3 linked regions of the Caenorhabditis elegans genome follow. The protein of the gene in region 3 purifies or fractionates together with the protein of the main gene of each other region. This does not show direct contact. Each region holds a gene or a part of one and is shown on either strand. Other genes may lie near its edges.

Region 1 (3,754 bases), 7.4 Mb from region 3:
CAACTAAATACTAACCAATTGGTGGAATTTCTCCCCTCTTAAATATATCTTTACACTTATCCAATCTAACAACTTTTCACCTCGTAAACAACTCTCAATCCTCCCAATTTTCCTCTCCAGGTCTCAGTGATTTTCGATCGGAATTTCGACCCATATGCGAAACGGGTTCGCTCTTTTTTCATGTCTTTTCTTCTTTCTAGCTGATTGCAAGAAAGTAAATCGAGATTTTGACTATGAATTGAGCAAGAGAACTCTGGAATTCGCAGCGGCTGCGTATTCCATCGATCCGGAACCTTGCATCTCGAAAAACAATGCGACTTTATTGTTTTTCAAAAAGGTGGAGTGCGATTATATGCGTGACGAGGTAAAAGATCATGAGATCTTTAAATATTCAAAAATCATCTGATTTAATTTTTTCCAGTGCTGGAGTGTGATTGCTGCCGACAACGACACAATATTCGTCAGTTTCAGTGGAACAAAATCGAAAGAGCAGCTGGTAACTGAACTTATCGAAAGCATTGGTCGGCCAAAGCACAAAGTAGGCTCATGTTTCAAGTGTTTGTCTGAGTACTCACAGAGCAAAGAAAACTTATTTTACAGTTGCACAATGCTGGATCAGTTCATTATTACTTCTACTCTGCTCTAAAAACAATGTGGTCACCAATGGAAAAACTACTGCGAGGACTGAAAGACTCACTTCCAGATCATAAAATTGTGTTCACAGGACACTCATTGGGCGGAGCTATTGCAAGTATTGCATCGACTGTTTTCGTTAGAAACTTTCCCGAAACGTCGAGTCGAACCTTTTCAATCACATTCGGACAGCCTAGAGTTGGAAATCTCGAATATGCCATGACACATGACAAATTAGTTGCTGGAGGAAGCTGGAGACTGATTCATGGAAGAGATATTGTGAGGGAGACTAATATTTAAGATTTTTTTAATGCTTTATTAGGCTCAAAATGCACCCAAATGAGCGAATTTCGTAATGAAACTTCTCAAACAAGTTCGAAATTTTTTTCTGGCGGTTCAAAATATCCTCTTTCAAAAGACTATTAAAAGTTTTTTTTCTAGGTTGCACATATTCCGTTCTGCGTGGAAAGCTATGCCAGATGGTGTATACCATTCTACAATCATGGATCCTATCACCATGGAGTCGAAGTCTGGTTTCCTGGAAACATGACAAGTCAAGATACGTTCAAAGTTTGCACCGGGACTCCATTGAACGAGGACAATTTGTGCAGGCAAGTGACAGTGATCGAAATCACGTGATAAGAAAATCTTCTCTTACAGCAACACTCATCGCTACTTTGACATCAACGATCACCTGTTCTACTTTGGACACCACGTCTCAGATTACGGTGTTAATGGATGTGTAGACCCACCGGATGATGAACCATTAATAAATAATGAAAATGTTTAAATAAATTTAAAAATGTTGATTGAATTGCGATTCTTTTTCTCGTCGTTTCAACTGTTGAAAAGTCGGTTTGAGAGAATATTCTCGCTTCCGTGTGTCACGTATATTTTCTCAGGACTTTCTTTTTATTGGAGAGAGAGAGGAGGCGCCAAAGAAGATAAGACACCCGCGAACTCGAGTGTAAGAAGAAACAAGGGAGGAGAAGAGAGAAAGAAAGGGATGGTTGAACACAGAAAATGAATTGTTGGTTATTTTTCTTTTCGTTTTCGGTTTCCTACTTTATTGTTATGGAAGATTGTGTCTACTTTCTTCCCATTCATAACACGAACCTTCTTTCTTTCTTTCTCTCTATCATTGCCTGTTTTTCTTTCTCTCCGGCGCAATAATATTATTATTGATTTCTTAATATTTGATTAAAATGATAAGCCTTTGTCTTCGGAATCATTTTGATAAGAGACGATATCATTTCGGCTAGAAATGTTGCAGGAGAACGAGATGCCTGGGCCAGCCGGCGTACCGCAGCGCAAAATGACGTATTTCGTGCCGAAGAGTGGTCAGTTTACTTTAAAAGAGGACTTACCATTTTTTTTTGCTCTTTTAGACTCGAAATGTGCCCAAATGAGCGAAATTTAAAAAGATAGTTTATTTCACATAATTTCAATTAAAATTGATTTCCGTCCGTTTCGACATGGAAAATTTGGCAAAATTGAAGATTTTAGCTAAAATCAAATAGCCCATTTTTTTTCGAAATTTTGAGCCGTTTTGGACGCATTTTGAGTTGAAAAAGTGCATAAAATTGATCGATTAGCCCTATTTTATTTTCATTCCACATTGTCTTCTCAAAAATCTCAATTTTCAGACAACTCAAACGAGCAGGTTCGAGTTCCAAACGTCATCGCACTTGTCGGACTGCCGGCACGTGGCAAAACATACATCTCACACAAACTGTGTCGTTACCTCAACTGGATTGGAATTAAGACCAAAGGTTGGTCCTGATTCGATTATATGTACGACATGAAACAAAAAATCAAAATTACAGCATTCAATGTCGGCGAGTACAGAAGAAGAGCGTGTAATTTGGAAGAAGAAGGCGAAAATGAGTTCTTCTCGCCAAACAACGCCAGAGGTCAAAAGATCCGAGAGTGAGATTTTACGAAACTATGAAGAAAAAAAATTAAAAAAATTCCTGAATTTTCAGTGAGTGCGCGAAATTAGCCATTGAAGATATGGGAAGGTACTTGGATAACAAGGAAGGAGAAGTGGCGGTGAGTTACAAAGGAAAAAATTTCAAAAAAATATATAGACATAAACTTTTTATTCAGATTCTCGACGCGACAAATACTACAAGAGACCGACGAAAGCTTCTGATGGAGTTTTGCAGAAATATGATGCACGAGCCACCATTCCGTGTCTTCTTTGTGGAATCTGTTTGTGATGATCCTGATATTATCAACTCGAATATCACGGTAACCTTTAGATCTTCAAAATAATCACCTTAACCCGCATATTTTCAGGAAGTGAAAATCAATTCGCCAGATTATAAAGGAATAATGTCTCAAGAGGAAGCAAAAGAAGACTTTTTGAAGCGTATCGAGAACTATCGAATGCAATATGAGCCACTTGATGAGGATCATGATGAAGAGCTGAGCTATATCAAAGTTATCAATGCCGGAAAATCCTTCTATGTTCACAATGTTAATGGTCATGTGCAGAGTCGTGTTGTGTATTTCCTGATGAATATTCATCTTCTTCCAAGAAGTATTTATTTGTCAAGAGTAAGTTTAACAAAAAAACCGAAAAAATTTTGCGCTAAAAATAGGTAACAGGTCTCGACGCGAAAATTTTTATTAAATGCCAAAAAGTGTGCGTCTTTACAAACTACTGTAGTTTCATTTTTTTTGCTGCCGAGTTTTCATTGAGTTTCAGTTTTCTCACGATTTGCTGTAAAAACGTTTTTATTTTTTATTTCACTTTTTGATAAATTAATATTTTTTTACCAAACAAGCTAAGAGAGCCCGTAAAAAAACTTGAATTTTAACAAATCGTGAAAAAAAAAGAAAATCAATGAAAATTCCGCAGCAACGAGAGTTTGAAATTACAGTATTCTTTAAAGGTGATGCCTTTTTTCATTTAACAAAAATGTCGTGTCAAGACCGGACACCGGTTTTTTTGGCACAAAATTCCGTTTCTGGGATATAATTCATTCAATTAACAGCACTGAGAATTATCAAGTATTTTTAAACTTTTATAGTTTAAAAATCCCTTTAAAAAATTTATTACAGCATGGAGAAAGTGAGTACAACAGAATTGGTCGTCTTGGTGGTGATTCCCCAC
Region 2 (3,754 bases), on a different chromosome or scaffold from region 3:
TCTTTTCCATAAGACATCATCCCTGTCCTACTGATTTCAGGTCGGATGCATTGACGATCTTTACGCCGTGCAGGGTCTCGCATCCAGTCATCCCAAAATCCTACAGGCCAAATTGGTTCTAGTTCATGCCACGTTTTCCTGAAAATATAAAAAAATCACAGCTCAAAATTAGCATAAACATTTTGCAGAAATTAAAATCGTAATTTTTGAAATTGTAAGTTCGGTTCTCTGGAAAAAAGTGTTAAGCCTTTCGAAAATGTTACAGATTTCGACAGACAAAATAGTTTCGAAAAATTCTTATAACTCCCTAGTTTCATTATTCTCAGAAAAACATGATATTTCTGTAATAATGACTGATGAGTAAAAATAATTTTCCGAAACTCACGAAGACATCATCCAGCCAAGTCCTGCAAAGAAGTCACTTCTGTACAACGTAGAAGCCGCAGTCATGTCAATATTCTCTTGCTGAAAAAACATATTTTCAGCAACAGTCAATTAAATTTAAGATTGTATTATTCACTTTTCCATTGTCGTTCCAGGCAGTGACGCACCACAATTTCTCATCGTTTTCCAGCAAATATCGCGTACTTGAGAAGTACGAGAAGAAGTCTGGCGAAATGTCGAGATCGTCTGTAATTTTAGTTTATCTAAAATGAAATCAAATGATCACCTTGCCTTCTGTAATAATGACTGATGAGTAGCCCTTATCAACAAAAACGTGATTGAGCGCCAATTTGTAATGACGTGCTATGCGGTAATAAGCGGTGTACTGTCGGTGACTGGGTGGAATTGTGATATTCGCTTTATCGCCGGCCAAATGCTGAAATTATATGAAATTGAGATTGCAGACAGAGATTTTTGAAATCTACCTTAATGTACTCCACTTTGTCTCCAAACTTCTTCACTTCGTTCTTCACATTTTCATTATCACAGTCTTGGGTAACAATGATTGGGAACTTCTCCTGACTTGGTCGGTACCTGGAAACATACTTAATAAAAATTATTGCAAAAATAACTATGGAAAGGTACCTGATAAGTTTCTCAACATGGTCTCTCACTGCCATCGCACGATTACAGGAGAAAACCTGGAAAGAACTCAATTATTTTGAAAAGAAACTCCGAATCTGCATACCAAAACCGGAATGGGGTCTTTCCATTGCTTCAAATCTTGAGAAACCTGAAATTTTGAAATGGTACATTTTTTATTAAAAATTTTTTTATAAATTTGGAGTTCGCAGTTACTCTCGAAGATCATTGAAACCCCTGTTAGCATCAATTCAGTTTCACATGGCAAAAATAGATTTATTGTAACTCTGAATTCAGTTTTGAAATTTCAAAATTTAAACCCTTACCATTTCTTCCATTATCACATGTTTTCCCTTCCTGTTTGCCCTTATTTTGTGCACATCTTCCGCCAACGCAGCAATCTTCTTTGCCTCAAACTTCAATAACCGCTCCAATCTATTCGCTGATTCCAGTAAATCATCAATATTATCCGTATTTCTGGTTCTCTAAAGCTTGGTTTTTATATATTTTTCGAATTAAATAAAAACTTACATTTGTTATATCATTTTCTACGTAGAGCGTCCATAAAATAAATACAAATATGAAAATGATAAAGATTTTTGTCACCGCATGCATGATTTTAGGTGGAAATATGTACACATCCGCCTGAAAATTATTAATAAAAATATACCTTTTAATATTTGAAAAATACAAATAAATATTGCAAAAAAAAAACCACGGAAAAACAATAAATGTTAATAATATTTGGTTAATAAACCGCAGTTTGACGTGGTTTCGGTGAGACTCCTCCCCCATGCAACCCGCCGCATGGTGTTTTGCCACTATGCCGCACACAACTGGGTGACACGCTATTTATTGAGGACGCAAAACCCCACCGCTAATCCCGTAGTTTATGCAGTATTTTGCAAGATTTCGATATGGTGCATGTAATTGCTTTGTAAAAGTATAAATCGCTGATTTTACATTAGTCTGATTCTTGAATTTTATTTTCGAAAAAGAAGCAAAATAAAAAAATTGTGAAAGATCGTAAAATTATTGTGAATTATTCGTATTCAAGTTCAAATGTTGGCGAATAGGAGCGTGTCTGAAAAAATTATTGAATTTAGCTGAAAGTAAAGTTCTATTAAAGCTTATTTAAACTTTATTTGACTTACACAGTTGGAGCCTTCGGAAGCGGAATTCTCCAGATTCCCGTTTTGAAGACAGTTTCAGTGTTGCGACTGCAGTTATGGAATACAACCATTTGGAGTTCAAAATTACGCTGAAATTTTTTTTGGAATTCTTATCAAATATTGTTTATAGTTTAAAAAAAATTTCCAGCATTTTAGTATTATTGCCTACGTAACAGCTTAACTGATATATGTATTTTACTGTGATTTAACACTGACAAAAAATATGAGAATCATGGAAAATAAAATAAACTGTGGAATAATGTTATTGATATGAAGGAACTATTAAATAAATAAAAATTTAAACTCCAACGTTTACGCATGTTTGCCAAAAATTGAATCACTATTTTTACTTGCTTCTAATCATTTGACTTGTTACCAATTCAATTTTTAAAACCTACGTCCAGAAGTCCATCATTTTCTTGCACTCCTCCAATATCGTAAGTTTGAGTAACTTCATTTGAACAAAAATCAACTGAGGCAACTCCGTCGTCGACTCTAAAATGTGTTTGTAATACATAGAAGATTTACATTTAAATTTAAATTTAAATTTTTTTTCTAAATTTAAATTTTTACCATGGAAAATAATTTCTCTCAATGTATGCAACATTTGCTAATCTGATAAAACTCACAATGTATCAACTTCTATAACACGAATTCTTACACACCATGGGGCGTTACTTTTGCAATACACAGTTCCAGTAAATTGAAACTTATTTTCATAGCTAAGAACTCCAATGCATAAACAAGAGATAATAGCTGTTGAAAGATTCATCATTTCTTAATCTGTAATGTCAAACAATAAAAAAAATAAAAACAATTTGTGAGCGAGAAGAAGTGGTCTTTCTCGTAATTGATATTGTCGATTCAAGAGAACTTGTTCTCAAGTAGCTATGACCCAGCCTTGCCAATGGAAATGACGGTCACTAATAGCATCGTTGCAAGATCAAAAATTACGTTTCATTTCGAAAAATTAAATGATGAGAGATCTCGTGACATTTTTGTTTTGTAATTGGAGTGTTGAAATAGTGTATAGCAGAAAACTATCATTGAAATACATATATTTTCAGTCAAACCATGAAGAATCGGGAGAAAAGACAAGTCCAATATCATGTTTCTAATGGTTAACAGACCGAAATAAAAATTACTATTGCGCAGGGCTAATGTGAGACAATTTTTTGGTTTGAAAAACTCAAACTGTTGCCAATTTGCTTGGCTGCCCAATAGATTTTCCAGCCTTGGGTTGCGCCAGTAGGAAAAATTACTTTTAGCTAAAATGACTGCATGCAATAAAAACGTTGGCAAATCCTTTTTTTAGTCTTGTTTCAGTCAAAAAATGTGAACTTCTCGGTTTTTGCAACACATACTTTGTAAATCAACCAAATCCCAAAACCGTCTGACATTCTATGTCGTTAGTAGATTTTATTGAAGATATCATAATTATTGGTGTTCAGTTTTAAATGGTTGGAGACTTTTCAAATAAAACTTATCAAATATCGGGGTCGCACGCTTTTTTGCCGCAAAAGAATAAATGTGAAAAATACAGTTTTTATTAAACC
Region 3 (3,754 bases):
TTTTCGAGTCACATGCTCGAAAAATTGACTCGAAAAATCAAATTCCCAGCTGCAAATGCGCTCTAATGCATAATTATCAATAGAGCGCACTTGCAAGAAGTCCTATGGATTTTTTGGCGGGAATTTGAATTTTTGAGTTAAAAACTGCGAAATCTTGATGGAAAAATTAATTTTTTGAGTAAAACTTCCTAAAATATTGATTTTTTCTGAATTTTTCGAGTTTTCAAGCACCTGCGCGGTTCTGTGCGGCAAATAGAGATCATTTTCACGATCGTACTCCGCGTGAAGATGTGTTGTGTAGAAATTGACGCGCAAATCGCCGTCAATCTCGATTTCGGTAAGCCCGACAACTTTTCCGCCGAACCAGTCGCCGCGGTGAATGTGATGAGCGAATCCGTTGAGAGAATATCGATTTGTTAAAGTGGATACGATTGGGTGTCTGAAAATATGGAAAAAAATTGGAGAAGATTTGATGAAAATTCGGAAAAATTTTTTTTTTTGGATATTATATTATATTAAATTTTATTAATATTAAAAGGATATTATATTAAACGTAATTTTGTTCAGTTTTATCCTTTTAACCCAAATATTCCACAAATTTCTAAAAATTTAACAAAATGTTTGAAAAAAACCGAAAATTTTTTCAATGTGAACAAGTGGCGCAGTGGGATTTTCGATGGCTACCACCAAACTGAAGACCGGGGTTCGACCCCCCACGGTGGCAACTATTTTTTGTTTTGCAGAAATTAGATTCTAGACGTTGTAAAATGAGCAGGAAACTGTTTTTAGTGAAGGTTTAGAGTTGAGATTTGGATTTTTCGAAAAAAAATTGTCATATTTTCAGAAAAAATTACATGTTTTCAGAAAAAATTTTTAAACTAATTTTGTGGGAATGCTAAGATTTTTAAGTTAAAAAAAAAACTTTTGCAGCGTATGCACAATAAATCAAAAAATGTTGCCTTAGTGGGGACTCGAACCCCGCTCTTCAGATTGGTAGTCGGCGGAAATCCCACTGCGCCATTCGGACAACTTTCGGAAAAAGTAGGATTTTATCGATTTTTTAAATCTTTTTGTAGAAAAAATCACCTAGAAAACACACAGACACCACTGCCAGTGAATCCCGAGTGAAAATAGTGAAAATACGGATAAACCGACGAGACTTGCTCGCTGAGTCGCACAAAATCATAATATGACCAGAGCTCCTGGAGCCCGACAATGTCGTAGAGCTCATCAATCATGTATTGGCCGATTTTATTCAGTCGGTGAACTCGATCCGTAGATCCGATGGGCCAGGGTTGTGGGAGACACCACGCGTTAAGGGTAACCACACGGAGTTGACGAGCAGCCACGTTATCTGCAAAAAATCGATAATTCGGGAGGGAAAATCGTGAAAAATTAGATCCCTGATTGAAAATTAAGCTAAAATACGCGCAAAACTAGCGAAATATCAATATTTTGATTCAGAAATTTGAAATTCCCGCCGATCCTGCTGCAATCGCGCTCCAACGACAGTTTTCTCATTGGAGCGCATTTGCACAGTGCAGTCGGTAGAAAATTCAAATTCTTGGGTGAAAAACTTGAATTTCAGCCGTTTTTTTTCCAATTTTCTCACTTCTTCTCAACGCGGCGAATGATTCCCGGCGGAAAACCGGCTCCATGTCGACTTTCTGACTTTCCTGGGACTCTTGCTCGCTGGATGGCTCCATTAGCCTGGAATATGGGCTTAAATTCGTGTTTTGAAGGGCAAAATAGGTATAAAAAGGTTCGAAAACCTCAAAAAACACTAGAAAGAGTCTAAAAATCACATTTTTTCAGGAAAAAACAAGAAAATCAAAGAAATGTAACAAAAAAACCATAGAAATCTCCTAAAAATCAAATTTTCAACAAAATTCAATGCTGATGAGATCCGAGTTGATCAAGTACTTGATTATGTGCCAAATGACCAGAATCGTGTGCTCCGCCACCTCCATAAAGCGTAGATTGCACAAAAGTCACGAAACGGTCCAAGCTCATTGAGCCCTGAGACATGGGCTCCGCAGACTTGGCGTGTGTCGTGAATACCTCGATGACGGGCTTCTGAAATAGGGGAAAATTGGCTTAAAATTGTGTTTTTTTAGGCTGCAAATGCGCTCCGATGTGAAAATTATCATTGGAGCGCATTTGCAGTAAACGAGCAGCGGAAAATTTGAATTTTTTGCTGAAATTTTCAAATTTTCGCCTATTTTCTCCCGTTTTTTCGTGGAATTTCCGCTTTTTCTTTGCTGAAAAAATGGAATTTTCGACCGTTTTTACCTGCGTAGCAAGACTCCGCTCCGTCTCGTTCGCAATAACGAGAATAAATGGAATTCCGAGTCGATTTGCGTCGTGAATTCGCTTTCCGGCCGACATTTCCACACGATCGTCCAATAAAATGCCTCCTTTTAGATAACGAGAAGCCGACGAGCTCGCCATTTCCACAATCACATTCGACATGAGGCTCTGCAAGGAAAATTGGTTGAAAAATTAATTTTTTAAACATTTTAGAGCAAAAATCGCCAAAAAGCGTCAAAAATCATCTCAGAAATTCACATTTCTTGTCGATCACAGGTTGCAAGTGCGCTCTAATGATATTCTATTCGTTTTTTCTCCAAAAAAATCATTTTCAGTAGGGAAAATCGAAAAAAAAAAATTTAACACGAAAATGGCAGTTTTCTCAATGGAGCGCAGTTGCGTCATGCGGTCGGCGGGAAATTTGAATTTTTGAGTTGAAAACTAAGATTTTATCGAATTTTCTGGATTTCGCAGTGAAAAATCTTGATTTTTCACGATTTTTTAGCGAAAAATTCGATTTTTCTCAATTTTTTCTCCAAAATTGCTCACTTTCTTTACAATAATCACAGCATCGAACGGAGCGATAGCTCTGGGCAGTCGGAGAGCCTTATCACTAACTGATAACAAATCAATTGCCGCCGGAAGAAGCCGTGTTACACCAATTCCAAAACAGCACATATCCAATGGTTTTCCTTGAAATTTGGCTCCGAGAGCTTCTGAATATTTGGTGCCGAGGTGGAATGTGTGCGCAATTTCGACGGATGGGATTTTTTGCACAGTTTTTGATGAATTTTCAGCACATTTTTCACATTTCGCCGGCCCTGGACCTTCGAATTTGTTGTGATTTTTGCAATTTTCGCAGAAATTCACAAAATCCTCCTCCAAACTGCTTTTCAGGTGATATTCATGACTTATATGACCTCCATGTACTCCGGAATCTGCTTCCACCTGAAAAATTTTGGATTTCTGTCGTTGGGGCGCGTTTGCAGCAAAATTTAAGCCTAAAATTCAGATTTCCCGCGGATCGCACGTTGTAGATGCGCTCTATCGACAATTCGCAATAGAGCGCACAAGCGACATGCGGTTGGCGGAAAATTTGAATTTTTGGGTTAAAACTCGAGTTTTCAACGATTTTAGACTAAAAATGAGTCAAAACTTGCCAATTTTAGCTCAAAATTTTGAATTTTTGAGTCTAAAAATCGATTTTTCTACTTTTTTTAAATGAAATTTTCACCTTAATCACATCCTCGTCCAACTGCAAAATCTCTCCAAAAATTCGATCATAAATCTGACGAATCTGTGCATATGTTTGTTGAGATGTCTCCGCATCAGTGGAAAACGAATACATATCCTTCATTAGAAATTGACGCCCACGCATTAATCCGAATCTCGGATTCATTTCATCGCGAAATTTTTCACCGATTTGATAGACAATAAGGGGAAA

The links.
Region 1: the proteins of T27F6.6 (region 3) and pfkb-1.1 fractionate together in Caenorhabditis elegans (co-fractionation; one large-scale study listed by BioGRID). This does not show direct contact.
Region 2: the proteins of T27F6.6 (region 3) and gly-13 fractionate together in Caenorhabditis elegans (co-fractionation; one large-scale study listed by BioGRID). This does not show direct contact.

The regions. Positions count from the first base shown.
Region 1 is NC_003279.8:5,129,625-5,133,378, forward strand, and holds the start of pfkb-1.1 (6-phosphofructo-2-kinase domain-containing protein), read left to right. Parts: upstream 1-1,895; 5' UTR 1,896-1,897; coding exon of another isoform or gene 1,898-1,915; coding exon 1,916-1,973; intron 1,974-2,279; coding exon 2,280-2,405; intron 2,406-2,459; coding exon 2,460-2,562; intron 2,563-2,618; coding exon 2,619-2,685; intron 2,686-2,742; coding exon 2,743-2,886; intron 2,887-2,934; coding exon 2,935-3,195; intron 3,196-3,702; coding exon 3,703-3,754. Other genes in the region: Y110A7A.7 (Fungal lipase-type domain-containing protein), read left to right, coding at 155-364, 422-538, 601-912, 1,075-1,244, 1,294-1,423.
Region 2 is NC_003284.9:9,294,952-9,298,705, forward strand, and holds the start of gly-13 (Putative alpha-1,3-mannosyl-glycoprotein 2-beta-N-acetylglucosaminyltransferase), read right to left. Parts: upstream 1,672-3,754; 5' UTR 1,642-1,671; coding exon 1,558-1,641; intron 1,512-1,557; coding exon 1,353-1,511; intron 1,178-1,352; coding exon 1,133-1,177; intron 1,086-1,132; coding exon 1,030-1,085; intron 979-1,029; coding exon 870-978; intron 821-869; coding exon 676-820; intron 631-675; coding exon 521-630; intron 466-520; coding exon 386-465; intron 139-385; coding exon 1-138. Other genes in the region: B0416.7 (uncharacterized protein), read right to left, coding at 2,059-2,110, 2,181-2,287, 2,597-2,693, 2,828-2,970.
Region 3 is NC_003279.8:12,488,932-12,492,685, reverse strand, and holds the start of T27F6.6 (Putative neutral sphingomyelinase), read right to left. Parts: upstream 1,711-3,754; 5' UTR 1,707-1,710; coding exon 1,613-1,706; intron 1,355-1,612; coding exon 1,087-1,354; intron 440-1,086; coding exon 232-439; intron 1-231. Other genes in the region: pars-2 (putative proline--tRNA ligase, mitochondrial), read right to left, coding at 1,891-2,076, 2,293-2,478, 2,860-3,258, 3,545-3,754. UniProt on the Caenorhabditis elegans protein: Catalyzes the hydrolysis of sphingomyelin producing a ceramide (N-acyl-sphingoid base) and a phosphocholine. C.elegans contain specific sphingoid bases, which are unique or different in structure compared to the sphingoid bases found in other animals.